Saccharomyces cerevisiae S288C: one gene and its partners. Changing the gene in region 4 together with the main gene of any one other region gives a genetic interaction. Each region holds a gene or a part of one and is shown on either strand. Other genes may lie near its edges.

Evidence for each region.
Region 1: mutations in FMS1 (region 4) and CMS1 together harm fitness more than expected from each alone (negative genetic interaction), as found in Saccharomyces cerevisiae (2 studies listed by BioGRID).
Region 2: mutations in FMS1 (region 4) and CUB1 together harm fitness more than expected from each alone (negative genetic interaction), as found in Saccharomyces cerevisiae (2 studies listed by BioGRID).
Region 3: mutations in FMS1 (region 4) and MLO127 together harm fitness more than expected from each alone (negative genetic interaction), as found in Saccharomyces cerevisiae (2 studies listed by BioGRID).

What each region holds. Positions count from the first base shown.
Region 1 is NC_001144.5:155,965-160,589, reverse strand, and holds CMS1 (Cms1p), read left to right. Parts: upstream 1-2,859; coding exon 2,860-3,735; downstream 3,736-4,625. Other genes in the region: TFIIH/NER complex subunit SSL1, read right to left, coding at 1-541; THI73 (Thi73p), read left to right, coding at 1,085-2,656; NOC3 (Noc3p), read left to right, coding at 4,256-4,625. UniProt on the Saccharomyces cerevisiae protein: May play a role in the regulation of DNA replication and cell cycle control.
Region 2 is NC_001148.4:47,199-52,343, forward strand, and holds CUB1 (Cub1p), read left to right. Parts: upstream 1-2,104; coding exon 2,105-3,760; downstream 3,761-5,145. Other genes in the region: fumarase FUM1, read left to right, coding at 138-1,604; YPL261C (uncharacterized protein), read right to left, coding at 1,798-2,106; APM1 (Apm1p), read right to left, coding at 4,046-5,145. UniProt on the Saccharomyces cerevisiae protein: Involved in bleomycin tolerance with links to DNA repair and/or proteasome function.
Region 3 is NC_001142.9:501,321-508,345, reverse strand, and holds MLO127 (Mlo127p), read right to left. Parts: upstream 4,411-7,025; coding exon 1,045-4,410; downstream 1-1,044. Other genes in the region: GEF1 (Gef1p), read right to left, coding at 1-600; putative E3 ubiquitin-protein ligase HUL4, read left to right, coding at 4,955-7,025.
Region 4 is NC_001145.3:312,328-317,403, forward strand, and holds FMS1 (polyamine oxidase), read left to right. Parts: upstream 1-3,049; coding exon 3,050-4,576; downstream 4,577-5,076. Other genes in the region: STB4 (Stb4p), read left to right, coding at 1-2,678; MAC1 (Mac1p), read right to left, coding at 4,838-5,076. UniProt on the Saccharomyces cerevisiae protein: Involved in the production of beta-alanine, a precursor of pantothenic acid. Multicopy suppressor of fenpropimorph resistance.

The DNA of each region.
Region 1 (4,625 bases), on a different chromosome or scaffold from region 4:
GTTGTGCCAAACCGTTTCTCATTATGATAATACCCATTTGAGATATCGGATTTTGGTCGAAAAATTCATGGACAAAATCTATGGCGTACTGGATAATCATGGCATGCCTGTTTGGTCTCAAATCCTTTTCCAACATAGCTTCACTACAATCTAGTGTTAATATTAAACTTCTGATAATACCTCTTTGGTATGGCGTTATGTTTTTCTTAGCAGTACGTTTCTTTCTGGCCTCGACTATGCTAGCCACAAGAGATGCCATATCCCCTTCATCGTCCACTTTCACCAAATCCCAACTTCTCTTGATCTCATCCTCCCAAGCGTACCCACCATTTGAACCTTGCAGGTTTCTATTCGAGAGCCTTTTCTTCTTCTTACGCTGCACATGTTTATCCCTATCCCTGTGGCTTGAACTGTGCTGCTGTTGCTGTTGGTCTACACGATCATCTCCCTCGCCATCAAAATGAACTTGTCTCTTAGTTCTTCTAGTAATGGCAACTCTATCCTCATCCTCTTCAGATTCTGAAATAACTACAGGAGCCATTCTACTGCACAATCCTTCCGCACACACGCAATTAGCTGCCGACTTGCCCCACTAGTAATCACCTGCATCTATATAAGATAAGATGAAGACCTTTTACGTATCTTGAAAAACTATACAATAGCAAAGAAACCTACCACCCAGACCCTGTGCGGAGTATCTCGAACTTCCAGTATATTACTCTCAAGTAGATGACGCGTAATAGACAGGTTTTATTGGCAAATTTCGAGTCGCTATCATTATCAACATTAATTATAGGGTGGTGTTTGGTTGGTTCGAGTGCCGTCATAACTATTTGTTTTTTTTGCATATCTGGTTGATCCTCCTTAGTTAATATAGTCTCTTTGAGTTTCCCTTAAGGAACTGTCATTTGGTCCGGCGGAAAACATGGTGGTGACAGACAGCCTTTTCAGAGGTGATGAGCAATCTCGATGAGCATCTCAGCGGGTGCATATATACACGTATATAAGATAGTTCAAAGTATGATAGATTAAAGTTTACTTTGTTGTTGCTGAGAAGTAGTGAGAGTGTCAGCAAATCAATACAATGAAAAACATGTCACAACGATCCATGGACGTGGAGAAGAAGGCAGCTAACGCTGATAGTTGTTCCGTAAGTACCTCGAGCATTAATGTAGACGATGCGGACGTTGCTTTAAGATTCCTGAAACAGAACGGTCTCGACGAAAGCTCCACGGCTAATGAAGACGATGTTGTAGCAGGCGAAGAAGCCAACTTCTATGGTTCCCATGAATTATCTCCTAAGGTCCTGAGAAAAGTTGACCTCTTCATCCTGCCCTTTTTATGCTGTACATATCTTCTGATGTTTTTGGATAAGGCTCTGCTGAACTACGCTGCATCTATGGGTATCAAAGATCATTTGAAAGGTAACGAATTTTCTAATTTGGGTACTATCTTTTCTGCTGCTTACATTTTCATGGAACCTGTGGTCACTTACTTAATTCAAAAATTCCCCATTTCCAAAATCCTAGGTACTTTTATTACCGTCTGGGGTATCGTGTTGGCTTGCCATGCTGCTTGTAAGACGTACGCCTCGTTGATGGTCGTTCGTACTCTCCTAGGTCTCTTTGAATCCTCGAGTGCAGTTGGTTGTATCGCTATTAGTGGTATGTACTATACTAAATCTGAACAGAGTGCAAGAATTGGATTCTGGGCCACACAGGCTGGTACAGGTTATATTGTGGGCGGGTTAATTTCTTTTGGCTTTTTACATTATCATGGTACCGCTTTCACCTCTTGGCAAATAATGTTTTTGGTCGTTGGTCTGGTTACAGTTGCGTTTGGTGTTCTAACATTCTTATACCTTCCAGATAACGTCACCAATGCTTGGTTCCTAAACAAAGAGGAAAAAATTCAAGTTGTTGAGCATATCAGAGCTAACCAAACTGGCCTGGAAACAAAGAAGTTTAAGAAGCAGCAAGTTAAAGAACTATTCCTTCATGATAAGTTTACTTGGCCGATGCTTTTATTAACTGCATGTTCTCAAATTTCTACTGGTGCCATTGGTACATTTTCAGTGACCATCACTGGTACTTTTGGTTTCGACAAGTACGAAACAGCATTACTGCAGTTGCCTATTGGTGCCATTACGGCTATGATTATTCTTATAACAACTCAAATGTTGTCCCGCTGGGGTCATATCACACTCATAACCACATCTATGTATATTCCAGCTATTATAGGTTGTATCGTTCTTATCAGTTTACCCTTATCCCATAAGATCGGTAACTTATTTTCTCTGTACTTGCTTTACAGTGGTTCCTGTGTCATTACCAATATTTACATCTGGAATTCATGCAACACCTCCGGTTACACCAAAAGAGTTTTTAGAAATGCTATTACAATGATTGTATACAATGTCTCCTGTATTATTGCTCCACAGATGTTTAGGGCATACTCTGCTCCACGTTACATACCAGCAAAGATTGCCTTATTGGTCACTCAGTGTGTTTGTGTTCCCCTACAATTATACATTGGCTACATTTGCAAGAAGGAGAACGAAAAGCGTGATAAGGAACAAGAAGGTCAAGAAAGGAAGAAGTACCAATTTTTGGACTTGACTGATATCGAAAACAGAAATTTCAGGTACATTTACTAATAATCAACTTTTAATTTACAATATATAATATTTTTAGTCTGTAATATTCAATATTCAAAGACACCCAAACATTCATTGCACTTGGTATTTACCAAAAAATTGAAGAGAAAATTTTTGAGATGACCATGGATGAGGCAATGAAAGTCGAAATTTGATCCCCGCTACTAACTTCTAAACATATCGTCAGGACAATTGAGCTGAAAATGTCTAATCCAGATGATTTAGATGATGGACTCGCCTATGATTTTGATGCCGAACATGAAGTAATTTTTGACGCCAAGGATGGTAGTCCCCCAACCAAAAAGGTACAAAAGAGGTCTATAGAACAAGATGACGATGACGTTGATGATATAGATGGGAAAAAAGAGGAGAGAAATTCAGAAGATGATTCGAATAGACCTATTTCGAAAAGACAGAAAAAGCTACAGAAAAAATCAAAGCTAATTGAGAAAAAGAAAGAGGAAAGCCAGTATATCGTCTCACAACGAAAAGCACTTCCAGCAAGTTCACCAGAAAAAATTATTGAGTACCTAACAACTTTGATACGAGAAAAAAATCCTGACTTGAGTGTTTTAGAATTAGAGGAACTTTACTTCAAAAGAAATGATTTTCTTTCGACAGAAAAATTTGACGCTGAACGCAGATTAAGCAATTTCCCAGCCTTTATTCAAAAATTTTCCGTAGCTCCAAAAAAAATTGTTTTTTCTATGTCTAATATTAGAGTAGCAGACGTTTATCGTAGTCTAAACGGTGGCAAAAATTGCGTCAAATTATTCTCTAAAAGTAAACTAAAGGATGACATAGCCACCGTGGAACGTTTACTTACTGACAGCTCTAAAAAATCAAACAAAAATAAAGATTCACTATATTTTATTGCCACTCCAACAAGAATGCAGAAAATTATAGAAGCTACTGACTTACTTTTCCAAGGTAAGGAAAAGTTAGATATCATTCTTGATGCAAGTTATTTAGATCCTAAGGATAATACTATATTATCATTCGAGAATGCAGCCGTCCTCTGCCAAGTCTTGAAAACCTTTTTGAATAAAAAAAGCTCCGTGAAAATACTGTTATATTAATAATAGCGCTTTTTCACTGAGGTTCTACACATAAGATTACGTTTTTAAATACCAGCCTTAATTTAGTATATTAAATATTTCATTCTAGCATTTGATGGGGTACTTCAAATTATCTTCTTTAAATTGTCCAAAGCCCTTCCAAAAAGTAAAATCAAAGGAGAAACTTCGAGAACGCCTAGGCGCGCAGCAAACTCCATATATAACAATGTATTTTTTCTTTAACTACATAAAACCAATTTATCCTATTTTACTCTTTCCATGGAGTGTATGCTTTTTTGTAGTTACTTAGATTCAGAAATTCAATGTCTTCCCTCATTTTCTTCACCGTAGAGTAGACCATGGGACGTCGTTTTACTTTAGTTTTTGAATTTTTTCAGCGATGCCCGAAAACTGAAAATTTTATCTCATCTCATTCACCTGCCTGCCATATATAGTATTTTCATGGTATAAACTTGGCATTTTATGTCTTCAATCATAAGAGTATAATTCCGGGATAAAAGCTGGAGATATCATAGTAATAATGGCTAAGAGAAATAGATCTCAATTTCGCATTCAGGAAAGGACTGCAAAGAAAAGAAAGCACGAAGATTCCTTGTTAGAAGGCAATGTTTTCCAAAATGCACCGGAAGATATGGATGAAAATACCATATATAGCGCAAAAGGCTCATCCTGGGATGAAGAAGAACAGGATTACGAAATGGTTCCTCGGAAGAATCGGTCTGATACATCAAATCTTGTTGAAGGCCTGCCTATAAAAGTTAACGGTAAAGTTGAAAGAAAATTGCATAAAGCCCAAGAAAAACCAAAGGACGATGATGAGGAAGACGAAGACTCTAATGACTCTTCAGAAGATGATGAGGGACCTAATGAAGAACAAGAAGCAGAGGCAA
Region 2 (5,145 bases), on a different chromosome or scaffold from region 4:
ATTCATATCGTTTCTCCATTACATACAGTCATTTTTTTGCATTTTTAAATTCGTGACTTTTAGTACTGCAGCTGTTTTTTTTCTCACGTCAAGAAATTCCATAAAGTCTAACTATTAAACGGATAAGAGATACAATCATGTTGAGATTTACCAATTGTAGTTGCAAGACTTTCGTAAAATCGTCATATAAGCTTAATATAAGAAGAATGAACTCCTCGTTCAGAACTGAAACCGATGCATTTGGTGAGATACACGTGCCTGCTGATAAGTACTGGGGTGCCCAAACTCAAAGATCCTTTCAAAACTTCAAGATTGGTGGCGCTCGTGAAAGAATGCCATTGCCTTTGGTGCATGCATTTGGTGTTTTGAAGAAATCTGCCGCGATTGTGAATGAGTCTCTGGGGGGATTGGATCCCAAGATCTCCAAGGCTATTCAACAGGCCGCTGACGAAGTGGCTTCTGGTAAGCTAGACGACCACTTTCCATTGGTTGTTTTCCAAACGGGTTCCGGTACCCAGTCTAACATGAATGCTAATGAAGTTATTTCCAATCGTGCCATTGAGATCCTAGGAGGCAAGATTGGATCTAAACAAGTCCATCCAAACAATCATTGCAACCAATCTCAATCATCCAATGATACTTTCCCCACTGTCATGCATATCGCTGCCAGTTTGCAAATTCAAAACGAGTTGATACCTGAGTTGACCAATTTAAAGAACGCCCTTGAAGCCAAATCCAAGGAATTTGACCATATTGTGAAGATCGGTAGAACACACTTGCAAGATGCCACGCCTTTGACACTAGGTCAAGAGTTTTCCGGTTACGTGCAACAAGTTGAGAACGGTATCCAAAGAGTGGCACATTCTTTGAAAACATTGAGTTTCCTGGCACAAGGTGGTACTGCCGTTGGTACAGGGTTGAACACCAAGCCCGGATTCGATGTCAAGATAGCCGAGCAAATTTCCAAAGAAACTGGACTAAAGTTTCAAACCGCCCCTAATAAGTTCGAGGCTTTGGCTGCTCACGACGCCATTGTCGAATGTAGCGGTGCTCTAAACACCCTTGCTTGTTCTCTTTTCAAAATAGCGCAAGATATAAGATACTTAGGGTCCGGGCCACGTTGCGGCTACCATGAACTAATGCTGCCAGAGAATGAACCAGGTTCCTCAATCATGCCTGGTAAAGTTAACCCAACCCAAAACGAGGCATTGACTCAAGTGTGTGTGCAAGTCATGGGTAACAATGCAGCTATCACGTTTGCCGGCTCTCAAGGTCAATTCGAGTTAAATGTCTTCAAGCCAGTCATGATCGCCAATCTATTGAATTCGATCAGGTTAATTACTGATGCCGCATATTCATTTAGAGTGCACTGTGTTGAAGGTATCAAAGCCAATGAGCCTCGTATTCATGAGTTGTTGACTAAATCTTTAATGTTAGTCACCGCTTTGAACCCTAAGATCGGTTATGATGCCGCTTCCAAGGTCGCCAAGAATGCTCATAAGAAGGGCATTACCTTGAAGGAAAGTGCATTGGAATTGGGTGTATTGACTGAAAAGGAATTTGATGAATGGGTTGTTCCTGAACACATGCTAGGTCCTAAATAAACGAGCTAAATACCTAATAATATACAAGTTTTTTATGTCTTATTATATGAAGGAAAATAAGGAAGTGGAGAGAATTTGTGATTCAGCAATGGTCCCTCCGCTAAGGTCCCGCCTCTGGCCAGTTATGTCAGAAGAGGAGCATAGGCATACATTCCATTTTTGATGGCTTAATGGGGCCCATAAATTTACATCACTACATTATTATTCCTATACAAGTTATAATAAAATAGTTCATAAATGAATATTTTGCGTCATTTTTTAATTTCTTGTCGTCGGGTAAGGGACCTAGTATTACCCGCATCACGGAAAGGGGAATTTTCAGAAATGATAACGAATAAGAGAGTACACCAGAAGAGCAAATCTCTTTAAGAAGTTTAGCAGCAAATATCGGTTTAAAAACAAACAAAAGCAAAGGAAAAGAACTACTAAATCTTCGAGGACTTTCCCAATTTTTAAAACGCTGAAATTGTATTAGAAGAGAATAACTGTCTAAAAAGAGCATGTTTGCATCCGCTGGACAACAACACCCTCAAATTGTTCCTAAGGAAGAGGAATCCATATTAAACTACCTCCTTGAAGTGAGATCCTCCTTGGCTAAACTCAAGCAAAATAGGACCCAGTATTTGAACTCTAAGGATGTCCAAACTACTTACCAACACGTCTTGACCAAAGTCAGAGAGTTGGACGATATTAGGAAGAATAGTCATGAGACGCCCGCTAAGAGCGCCGCCACCCTGATTCATAGTACTGAATTGCATAATAGAGTTGACTCCGTACTGGATGATGTCTTTCAATTGCTCTCGTTGTGTTTTTTAACTGTTGGGCTAAAAAATTCTGCACCTGCGACTTATGCATCGTTATCTACTGTGGAGAGTCTTTTGGAACATTTAAATGAATCAAACGTCTTCACCCATCACGATTTGAGTCCTATTAAGGAAAGGCTGGAAGAAATCAGCAAGATTGTCGAACAAAAAAACTCTAGTCCTGCGTACGATGAGGATGGAAATGATGACCGATTAAGGGAAATCGACAACGAAAGGAAAAAGAATAAAATTGAGGAAGACCTATTACTACGTGCTAAATTAAAGCATTGCAAGGACGAATATGATATATTGGAAGGCAAATTGGAGGAAATTGATCCGTCTTTGTCTACTGTAATGGAAAAGTTATTCCGAATTAGAAGAGGTTTATTGTCATTAGTTGCATCTGCTAAAAAAACAATGTCTAAATCTGATATTAATACCAACTCTTTATTGCAGGAACAAAATGATTTGCAAACGAACAATGAAAGCTTAACGGATGACAAACATTTAGTATCTCAAGAGTATGTCCATGAGAAATTATCAGTTTTGAAGAACGAATTAAGTGAATTAGAATCTAATCGTGACGATTCTGGTAAATTCAAGTCCTTGGAGTCTCATCAGGTGGCAGAAAAAGGCCAAAGTGTCCTTAATGGTTTATTGGATGATTGCCATGATTTAGTTAACGATTTATCACACCAAAAAAATGGCGGGTTGACTTTAGATCCATATTTACAGCCAATATATGAACAGCTGATTGATATAAAGACTACCTTAGAAAATTTAATGATCACAAGAAGATGGACTTTGAGAGAAACCGATTTATTTTCTTACCAAAAAAAATTGAACGAAATTGATAACAAAAGAATCAATGGTAAGTTTCCAACAAAATCTCAGGACTCAAAGGGGCAATCAATACTTTTATACCTGTTGCGTAGATGTTATGCCATAATTTATAAACTGTTGGAAAGTTCAGAGCCCGTATCTGAAGCGTTGCAGCCAATTCACAATCAACTATCTACAGTTCGTCGTTGCCTATTAGAATTGAAAAGAATGGGAGGTGTGAATAATGAAAGAGAGTTATACCCTTATCAAATGAAATTGGCTTCATTGGACAACCTGAGAACTGAAGGTATATTCTATGACTCTGATGGCAATATACCTGAAGGCCAAGGTATATTGAATGCTTTATTAGCAGAATGTTTTGATATCTTGCATGAATTAAAAGTGGAAGCCGAGGAAAAAGCACAGAACTCTACTTCAAGTGATGGTTCTGACGACGATGACAACGGAGAATCAGGCATAGACTCGAACTCAAACGACAGCGAGCCTGAATCTGAATATCAACAGGAATAGAGGAGAGTGTTTCTTTATCTTCCATTTCTCCCTATTTTCTTGGTAGAGGAAAACATTATAAACAATAAAATGAAATACAGAAAGAAAAAAAGTTATTCTCTTATGTCTATGTATATAACAAACCCTGAATGAGCATCTATATAAAAACAAAAATATATAAACAACTTTATGTCATTATCATAATTGTCAATGGGAGGGGGGAGAAAAAGAGGAATAAGGACATACGTACCCTGTGTCTTTGTCCATGCACCGTAGAAATTGCTTTTTTTATATATTTTTCAGACATTACGTCAGCCTTATTGTATAATCATCACCACTTTGCGTGATATATCTTACCCATGGGTAACTCTTATACTGCAATTTGGGTTCGTTAATTTTAAGATAACGTACTTGAATACCTGAAGTAGTAAAGTAGGGTATTTGAAATTTGATTTGGACAGGTCCCTTCAAGATTTCCGCGTTACTTTTTGGCATTGTTCTATTGCCATCCTCGTTATTTGATATTGAAGGCAGTCCCAATTCGGCAGACATTGAGTACTCTTTACCACCGGGAAAACTTCTTATTTTCCATAAGATTGCACTTTTTTCAGGGACATACTTTAGAGACCCGTGTGAATATTTAAAAGTCGGTGTATCCGCGTCGTCCGGGACCGGTATCAATATCTCTACATTAGTTGCAGTAGATTTTCTTTTAATTTGGGCCTTGGCCTTACAGTGAATTTCAATTCTAGAATTCGAATGAACTTGAACGTTTACATCACACCAAATTAACGGTTTTATCGTAGTAGATAGTCTGTAGTTCATTAAATCGAACTTTCCATCAGGAGGTATAAACGTTATAATTTTTTCATTCTCGAATTTGCTTAATCGGACACATTGATGAAATTTCAAATCTTCCAATTCAATATTAACTTTCTTCTTGTTTGTGGCCGATGATGATGTTATTGATGGTTTTTTATCAGTTTCTGTGTTATTATCGGATGTTGTCGCGCTCGCTGATGGGATATTTGTATCATCATCCAAATATTTGGAGAAAATGCCTTTATCATTAATACCTAATTTCAGATCAGGCATACCAGACAATTTTGAGTTAACCTTAACATCGCCGATAATTTCTGATCTCAAAACTTGACCTTTTTGAGTCATGAGCATATTAATAGATTCGACGATATCCAGAAAGGCTTCATTTTTCTTGTGAGTGATGCCTTCTGGCCTCCAACTGACTGAATTTGTTAGTGCGACGGGTGGTCTAGTAGCATTCCTCTTCTTCTTGGCGGATTTAACTAGTTTGAAGGATTTTTGTGTTATGTACTGTTTCAGCATCTTAGTTTCTGTGATCTGTGGTATACCATAATCCATCACTTCGTCCAGTAATTCATATATTA
Region 3 (7,025 bases), on a different chromosome or scaffold from region 4:
GTATTCAAAACCTGATACCCATACCTTAATCTCTGAGATTCCTGAACCAGTAGCCATAGGAGCAACATATTTGACTAACAGTGTACTAATTAGAGCAAATAAGACTGACAAAAGCATGAAAATTATAAAAGGGGACACATGTCCCTTCCAGGCAATCCAAAGCCCTTGTGCCTCGCATTCAAACTCTTGTCTTTTCAGTAGTAAATTGCTTGTAGAGGTAACCTCATTAACCACGCCGTTACAACAGAAGGATTTATTAAGTAGCCAGTTCCTCTGACAATGACCTGTTTTCCAGTTAACCAGAGTTTCCGTGAAGACTTGTAGGAAACCAGCAATACATCCAATAACTATGGCCGTAGAGCTTAATGTGATAAATGTTTTTGCACGGTCCCATATAACCTCTCGGTAATGTCGATATTTTGAATTAAGGAACTCCCTGTCCGAGTCTACAGACAGTGGTCTATTTTCCTCAGCAATCTTATCAATTGTAACAAATTGGTCAAAATTTTGCGTTTCTGGAATATTGGTGAATCGATTGGTGTCAATGACATCTTCACCATCCCCAATTGGTTGATTTATTGGCACATAAGTTGTTGGCATTAGTGTCAAATAATTTTATAGTATGCAAGATCAACATTCACCGCCCTTTCTATACGGTGTGCTTTTATGAAGACTGGAGAACAGGCGGTGCTTTTCCTTTTTTTATGGGTTCGAAATCGCGACATTTCTGTCCTTAATAAGTGAAAATCATATAAATCTATTTACTAATAATGATAGCCAATGTGAAGTGTTTCTTAAGAAACACGTAAAAGGCTCTTAAGAAATCTTTGAACTACAAAACCGATCTTATTTGAAATGTGTGATAAGTATCATTTTTCGGACAGCATTCGGTCCTACGGTCATGGCCATATTATAGCGTGTATTTAACAATGACTTTTGCTAAACGAAGAACAAACAAAAACAACACCGCTTCAAGAATTTTACTTGAAAACTATACTAAAAAAGGAAAGTAAATTTGTAAGTGTATATATCATAACGTAGACACTAAATTTCAGATATTACAGTGTGATCATCCATTTGAGGATCGAGGAAGCCCAGGAACTTTTGAACCGACCGCTTTGCGAAGACAGCTTTCTTTTCTGATAAGATATGTAATGAGATATCTGACTCTTCATGCAGGATTCCGATCACATAACAACCGTTAGACAAGGTACTTACTAAGAATAAGGGCATAAATGTAGATTCGCCTAAAAACGTGCTCATTCTGGAATCAGTAGTTCTTACAGAGTTGATGGTTGTAACTTGCTCAGCAACATGGTACACTCTTTCGTCTATTTCTTCCTCACCATCAAGTTTTAAACTAAATAACGTGAGCTTTTGATCACCGTACGAAATTAGTAGATACCTAATATTCTTGAAAGTTATAGCGGCTGCACCGGTAAACATTTTCCCGGTGTCGGTAATGCTATTGATGAGGTCCCTCTCAAATAAATTCAGAGGCTGTACCTGCAATTGAACCTTTTCTATGTTACCGTCTGTTGTATGGATGACATTGAACCTCATCACACCTTTCCGTACATCAAGTAAAATCATTTCTTCCAAATAAACCCATGTACCTATATTTTGCTGCTTCCTAGCCATCTTTGCCTTCCTTTTATCAAAAAATATAGATGATGTTATTGTAATACCAGAAATATTCAACCTATTTGAAACCTGTTCAATACTGAACTTGTTATCATGAACTGAATAGTTCAGTTGATAAGCTTGCACAAACTCCCCATAAACCAAAACACATCCATTGTAATAGTTATGTAACCCACTGATTGAGAACCCCGTGTTAATCCCAAAAACAAATTCAATAAAACCCGATTCCTCATCAAATGAAAACAATAATAGGTTATTCATATTTTTACTATCAATACCGTCTATTGAGTCTAAATTTAGAGACACCAAGATACATGAATTGAAAATCACTTCCTTATACAGCTCAGAAGTCTTTCTTTTTCCTAATGTTTCGGTTCTTTTGAGCATGGGTACGGCAATAATATCTGATATCATAGCGTTTTCATATTTTATACTCTCGATATCATTGTTGAGGTTAGAAAAATTGAATGCGGAAATGTTTTTGAACTGTTTAATATCATACACATAAATTTCGGAATACTTGTCCTGCAATGGATTTGCTACTGGCAGGGCCGCTACAATCACATATCTTGATGAAGATTCCAAAGTTATAAATTTGAGACATGTTTTTAAAACTTTTTCAAACTTAGAACAAAGAGTAGCCCTTCCGGCATCACCAGGAACAAGTACGTCGTAAAATTGACCTTGAGAAGTAACCATAACAACTGAGCCATCTTTTTCTCCAGGTATCAAACAGCTTATAGGACATGGTGCATATACTTCTTGGATTTTAAATCTACCTTTTATTTTACTTGGCTTGAAAAAAATTATAGTATCGGCTGTATATATAAAAAAATAATCTGAGTTAGGGACTTCACAGAACTGTAACTTCTTCTTGCAAATTTTAACCTCTTCTACGATCTCAAAAGTTGCCAATTTCATAACGCAAAGGTTTCCTTCGGTGTCAGACATGAAAATGTAGACCGTGCTTTCGTATTCATATAGGAAAATGGACGCTAAGTCAGAAAGTCTATGGAAAACTACTTTCTGGCTTTTCAAACGGTTGCAATGATCAAATACCGTTATTTCATCATTCAGAACAAGTACAGTCAAAAAAGAGCCCTTGCTAGATATAGCAGATAAAAAGCAATTATCTATAGTCAAATCAACTCCCGTGTTTTGAATCCGGTAATAAACCTTTGAAAAACTCCACCTCAGATAACCTTGTTTTGTGACGTATGCGTAATTACACTCATTATCTCTTTGAATTGGGACCAAAGTAACGATAGTGTTATCTTTCAATAGAGTTCCATCTTTAGTAGCAATGAAACTGCCATTTATTTCAAAGTCTATTCGCTCACTATCTCTGTAAACATTATTATTCACATCTGCCCAATAGATACCTTTTCTTGTAGAGTAAACTTGTCGAGGAACACTGTCTTTACTTTTGAAAAGTAGCTTCATGCAAGTGGACGCGAAAATGTCCCCACACGATCGAAATTTCAAGCACAAGTATCCCTGCCCACAGTGTAATGATCCACAAGATAAATGTGACTTGGTGTAGTTCCCTATCAAATCGGAATATAAGGTTGATTTGCAAAGAAAAGAACCAAGATGAACAAAATTACTATGCCCTTCATTTCTGACTGAATATACTGTAAGATGGCCCTTTGGGGATACCAGTATCCAACACTTCTCATTGAAAAACGCTGCAAGGTAGTGATCATGTGAGGAACCACCATTGATGGGAAGCCTCTCAAACAAGGCCTTTTCCCAGATATACGTATCGTCTTCAAAACTGCTAAGGATTGCATTCATTCTGCATGTTATTAGAATTGCAGTACTCGTCATAAATGTAAATGTTAAATGATTTAATGTGGTATCCGCTAAAATAGGCTGCAAAAGTTCGATTCTTTCCATGTTATCAGACCCAAAGGCACCAGGCCCTTGGTATATTTTGTCTACCGTTTTACCATCAATGGTCTGTTTCGATGACAATGCATGTTTAATAAAATAAGTTTTCCATGGCGTAAAAACAAAATGACCAATATTGGTGACCGATTTGAGAAGTACTTGTGAGACCGTTGCTTCCTCCACAAATGTTAAATTGGTAGTTCTTTGCCACTTCGTTCCTTTGGCTGGTTTAGACTCGAATACACACACGCATGCTTCCAACTTATATGCAACCTCATTGTGTGCACGTGTGAGAATCGACAACGTAAAGACATCCTTATCTAAGAAATCATTGAAATTGATACACGCATCTATGGATACTATCGGTGAGGATGTCACATAACTCAGCTTAACGTCTGTTTCTTCCAAACAAAAAATGTCCTCAGTAGAAATCTCGTAAATTTCAGTGCATGACAAATTAAAAACCAGAGCTGTTCGTAGTGGATCTTGGAACATGAACTTTGGCTCTGATCTTACCTGATCAATTCCTGTTTCCAGAGATTTCACTATTTTGTAATCAAGGTTGACGAAGTCCAACCGTCCCGTGGCTTTCAACAGAATATAAAATCTTCGGTTAGGTGCAGTATGATCTTTGAAATAAAAGGCTGCCATTGTATATCCGACAGTCCTAAGTCTTAACTTCTTGCGCGCTTCATCTTGTTCTACCCCTTCAAACACATCTATATATTCTAGTCCTATGACCACCAATTCTCGGCTCTGTCCTTCGAGTCCATCTTCTTCCCTAATAAAACATTTAACTACATCCGGGGGACCATCAACCTCACTTACTATAATGTTGTCAGTCATCGCTATACGAATCCTCCCTGCTGGCATGAGAAATTGGATACGCCAAGCCCTGGGCAGCCTCCTCTTTGCATCGTTTCTCTTGCTTTCATCTTTCCACTATCCAATTACCCTGACTCTCGTTCCTGTCTATCATGAGTCTCTTGTCAAGCCAACAAGTGCTTCCTTTGGAGGTATACGATTGTCTCAACTTACTATGATTATGGAGAGGAGAGCAACGCCTACGTGTCAAGACCCATCGTTAACCGAGGTCTAGCTTTAACCTTGTATCTCCTAGCACTTTTAAATAAGGCAAAAAGGGAGTAGGGTCATATCTTTCTGGGACCCTTTTTTTGTGATTGCCCCAAATAAAGGAAAAAAATGGAGGTTACAGGATTTTTTGAAGAGTCAGGTATAACCGCCCATGTGGAACAGGTAGATAGATAAATATATTCGAAGGATTGCTAGATAGGGGCAAGTTTTTGCATGCATTTCTCGACTTTAAGCAGAAAAGTACATATTTTTAAGGGCATTGGTGAAATTTACCAGGTATATCTCTCGAATACTGCGGCTGATAGGTAAAGTAAAATAGGAAATGGTTTCTTTATTTGATAAGCTTAATGCAAAAAAAGACGGTAGAGATGGATCTGTGTCGAAGGAGTTGCTATCACATTCTGTAGCCCATACTAAGAACAGGTTACCCAAATCAGGAAGGCGCACGTCGGAACGGTCCTTAGCCGCTAGTGTAAAGGACGGAAGTTGCTCAAATAGCAAAAGCAATAAGCGGAACTCTTCGGCATCCGTGTCAGGGGAAGAAGATAAATCCTGTCTAATTTCACTTAATTGCCTATGTTGTGGTGTCCCACTACGGTTTCCAGCCTCCATAACGAAATTTCGATGCAGCGCATGCCAAGTAACAGTTATTGTAAAGGAGCCGGAAATTAACAGTAATTTGGAATCTAGTACGCATATTTCGTGCACATTAGAGGGTTTGCAGATGGTAGTAAGGCGGTGCCATGATGATTTGCAGCGGCTTAAGAAGACTGGGATTCTGGATAAAGAAAGAAAGGGGTTGATTTTCCAACCGGTAATAACGTATTTACTGGACAGATTTCATGATGTTAGCATTTTAAACAGGTCGTTCTTGGTACATGATGGTGGAAAGAATATAAAGATGCTGAATTATGAAGTTTTACAAAGATTTTACAGTATATTATCAAATCTTCCTACAAGGAAACCGTATTATAGTATGCTGTGTTGCTGTAACGATCTACTGAAGAGAATAACAATCAATAAAGGGGAAAATTTGCAAATATTACAGTATCGTTGGTTGCTGATTATATTAAATATACCTACAATACGAACCTGCCTTATTAGAGATCGGAAGAGCAAAAATGTGTTTGAGACCCAACAAATAAGGGCGGTGTCTTATGAGTTGGCCAAACGATGTATTGGCTACTTGTCTAACCTATCAACAAAAACATCTCAACAATTGATTCAATCATTACGGCGAACGCCTACGGATAATTTTTCATACCAGGTAGAGATTTTAAATTTATACATCAATTTCCAATTTTCCAGATTACTGTCGAACGAATTATCAAATAGAACCGCAAAAAATAACGTGAAGCCTGAAGATGAGATGCGATCTCGTCTTCGTCGGCATCACACTACTGGCCATGAATTCCTGAGTACTAGACCAATAAGTGCACAATCAAATGATAAACAGGGAAGTGGTTTCACGCATCCCGTCAATAATAAGATGAAATTTAAATTTTTTCAATATGAGGAAGACTGGCATATTCACTCTGCAGCAAAATTGACGTTCATCTATTATGTAGCCAATACTAGAAGAAATGGCCGTGGAGCGTTGTCAATTCAAAGCTTTTACAATATAACGCTAGACTTCATAGATTATAAACAAGATTTCGATCATTGGAGAGGAGTAGCTCAAAAGACAAAAATGAATCAACTGATTGAAGAGTGGGGAAATTCGACGACAAAAAAATGTTTTTCATTCTGTAAGTATCCATTTATATTGTCACTCGGCATCAAAATCTCTATTATGGAGTATGAAATTCGCAGAATCATGGAACATGAAGCTGAACAGGCTTTTTTAATTTCACTGGATAAAGGCAAATCCGTAGACGTTTATTTCAAAATCAAAGTACGGCGTGACGTTATTTCTCATGATTCATTGAGATGTATCAAGGAACATCAAGGCGATTTATTAAAATCGCTGAGAATAGAGTTTGTTAATGAACCTGGAATTGATGCGGGAGGGTTGAGAAAAGAATGGTTTTTCTTATTAACAAAATCGCTGTTTAATCCGATGAATGGCTTATTTATTTACATAAAAGAAAGCTCACGTTCATGGTTTGCCATTGACCCTCCAAATTTTGACAAATCAAAAGGAAAAAACTCACAACTGGAATTATATTACTTGTTTGGAGTTGTCATGGGGTTGGCGATTTTCAACAGTACCATATTAGATTTACAATTTCCAAAGGCGCTTTATAAAAAACTATGCTCAGAGCCTCTGAGTTTTGAAGATTACTCGGAATTGTTTCCGGAGACAAGTAGGAACTTAATAAAAATGCTCAATTACACAGAGGATAATTTCGAAGACGTCTTTTCTTTAACATTTGAGACTACGTATCGAAATA
Region 4 (5,076 bases):
CTATCGGGAATACTGATGATGCACTTGATACTAGTACAGCCGCAAGTAAAGAAAATGGAAAAGGTAGACTCAGGGTTCAAAAAGCTTGTGAACTTTGCAAGAAGAGAAAGGTTAAATGCGACGGTAACAATCCTTGTCTGAACTGCTCTAAACATCAAAAAGAATGCCGTTATGATTTCAAAGCTACAAACCGTAAAAGAAGAAGACGACAGGTCGCATCAGCTGTTCGGGACGTTAGTAAGACATATGCAGAAACCAGTGAGTCTTTTCCTAGGGACTTGTTAAGTAAATCAAATATTATCATAAATGCCCCCTCAGATGGTGTATCTTCGTCTGCTAGCAACTCTCCCAATCCAAATTCACATTATCATCATATATCATCCACTTTACCCTTCATGAGCGGTAGGCCAAACCATACATTCCATTCCGGAAGCAACTTAAATGGAGAAAATAACAATAACAGTTTTCCGGAGGATCACATGGCTAAATTACTTCTGCAATTGAGTTCAAAATTGGGGAATACGACCAAGGAATCGTCAATTAGAACAACTAGAACCAATGCTAGTGATGTGAATGCAAACCCGACAGTGGTCAACATGAAAAATAGTCAGGAAGACTGTGACACGAATCACAGGTCTGCAATATGTGACTCTGCAGAGGCTCTTCATAATAACAACATCAATTCTAAAGAGAATAAGATAATCAACTCTCAAATAACTAACACTGTTAATGATCACTTTGAATCACCCTGGCAGACATTTTCTTTAGATAAGTATAGGTTTCACCGACGCTACCAAAATATTCTGCCCTATTACCTTGGTGTATCTATTTTAAAGGATCTATCTCCGCAGACAATAGAGTACGCGAAGTTGAAAAGGCCAAGAGTTCAAAACTATGGTTGGAACTTGTCAGGAGGCCATTACTTAAAGTATAAGGGTGACTTTAGAAGCCAAGAAAAAAATATAAGGCATGAGTCTAAATTTTTCGACTTTGATGACCCTGTTCACTTATCCTTAATCAATAAGTTACTAAGGTATTATTTTGATGAGATCAATCCTGTTTTCAGTATCATTCACGAAGCGACATTTTGGCAGCAATATAACAATAAATTTCTACGGCAAGGTAAACAAAATAATTCATCTGCGAATCTATTCACTTCCATGCTTTATCTAATTTTGTCTACTACACTAAGATTCAGAGAAGGGCATCTAGATGGTCAGAAAGGGCAAGGAACCTACAGTAACACATCCTTAAATATCACATTCGAGGAAAAATCTATTTTGATCAAAAAACCCTCCATAGAGGAAAATTTATTCAAATACGCTTATTTAATAATCAACACGCTGACCTTTGAGTGGGAATCATTCGAACTAATACAATCGTGGCTTTTGATAACCTTCTATTTCAGAACCTGTTACAGACAGACGGCGTGCTGGAACGCGTTAAGTCAAGCGGTGAACATGTGTAATGGGATGAGTCTATATTTAAACAAATTTCCTGAGATCCATTCCACTTATGATGAATCAAAAGCATGGCATTGTTTCTGGTGTTGTTTTATAATGGATAAGTTGATAAGTTTTCAAATGGGTCGATTCTACCAACTATCATTACCCGCGAGCGAGATGTGCGAACAGATGAATCTAGTGAAGTCAAAGAAATTTTTACAAGAAGAAGATGATTGGTTTCACGAAGAGACTTTTCAAATGCTTGATTTGTCCATAATAGTGACACAGTTTTTAAAAAGAGACGCACAGGATTTAAATTTGAACGAGACCGTGCAATTGCGCAGCCAACTTGGTCAATGGTATGACACCTTTATAGTTGGAAGTCAAACCAATGCGTACGACGACAATTATCGTTACTTCTATCAAGTTCAACCATTCATGACATACCTGGATATAAGGCTGACTTTCGAAGTAAGACAATTATTTTGTCTAATCGCCCCCTCATCTACCGCAAATAATAAATCCCTAGAATATGTCGTCGATACTGAATTGTTAATTTCTCATTGTCAAATGGCTATTGAAAATTTGGCTGAAATTACGAGAAGTAATCTTTTCTTTGTTCCGTGGTGGTTAAACCTTTCTCAACTATTCACGGTAAATTTAATATGTATTATCTACCTGCACGCAGGGATTGCCGTAACTCAAAATAAAGCTATCATGCAAAGCTGCCAAGAAATATGGCGAACCTTAGAGTGCTCTAAGCCAAAAAATCGGCCTTCAATGCTTCCTGAGTGCTTGTGGTGTTTGAAAATGCTGAATCATATGTTCTGCATACGACTGAGAGATTCTGCTTTGCAATTGGAAGCTACTCTCGGAACTGATCATGGTGATGACACCCCTAATAGAAATAAGTTTGAGCAGTTCAAGAAAGTTGGCGATAATGATGCGGATGTTGAAGTTGATGCTGGTGAAAGAGAAGAAAATGCTGATGAAAGACAAGAAAATCCACATAACAATAGCAAAAGAGTACCATTAGCTACTAGGTCTCATAATACCACTAACTTCGACGGTTCAATCGCAATTTCTCCGGAAAGTGCAGTAGCAAATCTAGGTACTGATACTGGATTGCCCTCAGATGTTCTTGATACTGTCAGTAAAATAGGGAACTCTCCTAATGTGTTTGATGATGATTTATTTTCCAATTTATTATGGTTTGACCAAAATTTTGCATAAGGATTCTTTTTCTATTCCATAAAACCATTTTATGGACACGTTTACCTACATATTATTATATTGTATATAAGATGTTGAAAAAATTGAGTCAACCTCACCTTACCACATGTTGGTCCGTTGCTATGACAAACTCTCGTTTTACAAGAAGGAGGCTCAAATTTCGGGTCACCCACCCATATACGGATGTCACGCTATGAGATCTTTTAAACAATAGACAATTTTTGGTATCCTAAAGATATAAAAGAGGAGTTTTTTTAAACCATGGTAACTATTTTCAAATTTGCTCTGCTGCAGTTTTTTATTTCTGTTTTTCTTTTTTTGTTCCCAACAAGAAGTGAGTTAATAAAGGCAAAAACAGTGGTCGTGTGAGAATGAATACAGTTTCACCAGCCAAAAAAAAGGTTATTATAATTGGTGCCGGTATTGCTGGGCTTAAAGCTGCATCTACGCTACACCAAAACGGTATTCAAGATTGTCTTGTTCTTGAGGCCAGAGATCGGGTCGGTGGTAGGTTGCAAACTGTCACAGGCTATCAAGGTCGGAAATATGATATAGGTGCTAGCTGGCACCATGATACGTTGACAAACCCTTTATTTTTGGAAGAGGCTCAACTGAGTTTGAATGATGGGAGAACGAGGTTTGTTTTTGATGACGATAATTTTATTTATATCGACGAAGAACGTGGAAGGGTAGACCATGACAAGGAACTGCTTCTTGAAATTGTGGACAATGAAATGAGCAAATTCGCAGAGTTAGAATTCCATCAACACTTAGGAGTTTCAGATTGCTCCTTTTTTCAATTAGTAATGAAATACTTACTACAAAGACGCCAATTTCTCACAAATGACCAAATAAGATATTTGCCACAACTCTGTCGATATCTGGAATTGTGGCACGGCTTAGATTGGAAGCTTTTGAGTGCCAAGGATACATACTTCGGTCACCAAGGAAGGAACGCCTTTGCTTTGAACTATGATTCTGTGGTTCAAAGAATTGCTCAAAGCTTTCCTCAAAATTGGTTAAAGCTAAGTTGTGAAGTGAAATCAATTACACGAGAACCTTCAAAAAATGTGACAGTGAACTGTGAAGATGGTACTGTGTACAATGCTGATTATGTTATTATTACAGTACCTCAAAGTGTATTGAATTTGTCTGTACAACCTGAAAAAAATTTACGGGGAAGAATAGAATTTCAACCACCCTTGAAACCAGTGATTCAAGATGCTTTTGACAAGATCCATTTTGGAGCGCTAGGTAAAGTAATTTTTGAGTTTGAAGAATGTTGTTGGTCGAACGAAAGTTCAAAAATTGTAACTTTGGCTAACTCTACCAATGAATTTGTCGAAATAGTACGTAATGCGGAAAATTTAGATGAATTAGACTCTATGCTAGAAAGGGAAGATTCTCAAAAGCATACGAGTGTTACTTGTTGGAGCCAGCCTTTATTTTTCGTAAATTTGTCAAAAAGCACAGGAGTAGCAAGCTTTATGATGTTGATGCAGGCACCGCTTACAAATCACATAGAATCCATTAGAGAAGATAAAGAGCGTCTTTTTAGTTTTTTCCAACCTGTGCTGAACAAGATTATGAAGTGTCTAGATTCTGAGGATGTCATCGACGGAATGAGGCCGATAGAAAACATTGCAAACGCTAATAAACCAGTCTTAAGAAACATCATCGTTAGCAACTGGACACGCGATCCTTACTCACGCGGTGCTTATTCGGCCTGTTTTCCAGGAGATGATCCAGTTGATATGGTTGTTGCAATGTCTAATGGTCAAGACTCCCGCATAAGATTTGCAGGCGAACATACTATCATGGACGGCGCCGGCTGTGCCTATGGTGCTTGGGAAAGCGGAAGACGGGAGGCGACTCGAATCTCTGACTTACTGAAATAGAATCTATTTTTTCGAAATTACTTACACTTTTGACGGCTAGAAAAGGATATACATACATATTAAAATTTTTAGTAACACTCTGTGCTTTTTCAAAAATTTGAGGTACACCTAATTCTCCCACTTGTTGCTTATACCAAGTTTGAACAATTTTAATGTTAAGCACAATAGATTGGAATATTATCATATGGTGGTTCAGAGAGTAGTAGGGTGCATTTTCATTCCTGTTGCCTCAATGTGTTTTCTATCTGTATTTACGTGATTTTATGAAGTGGTGGCATCGCTTAGATGTGGTGCATAATTAGAGACTAATTTTTGAAACCACGCATGAATGTCAAGTAATTCTAACTGAGCATCTGTCATCAATGGCACTTGCAACTTCAAAAAATCCCACCAATATTTTGACGGCACCAATTTACCTTTGAATTTTATTTGAGTTTTCCTTGTTAATCTTGCATTCAGAATTCCATAGAAAAAGAATTTTTCAAATGGAATTATATTTG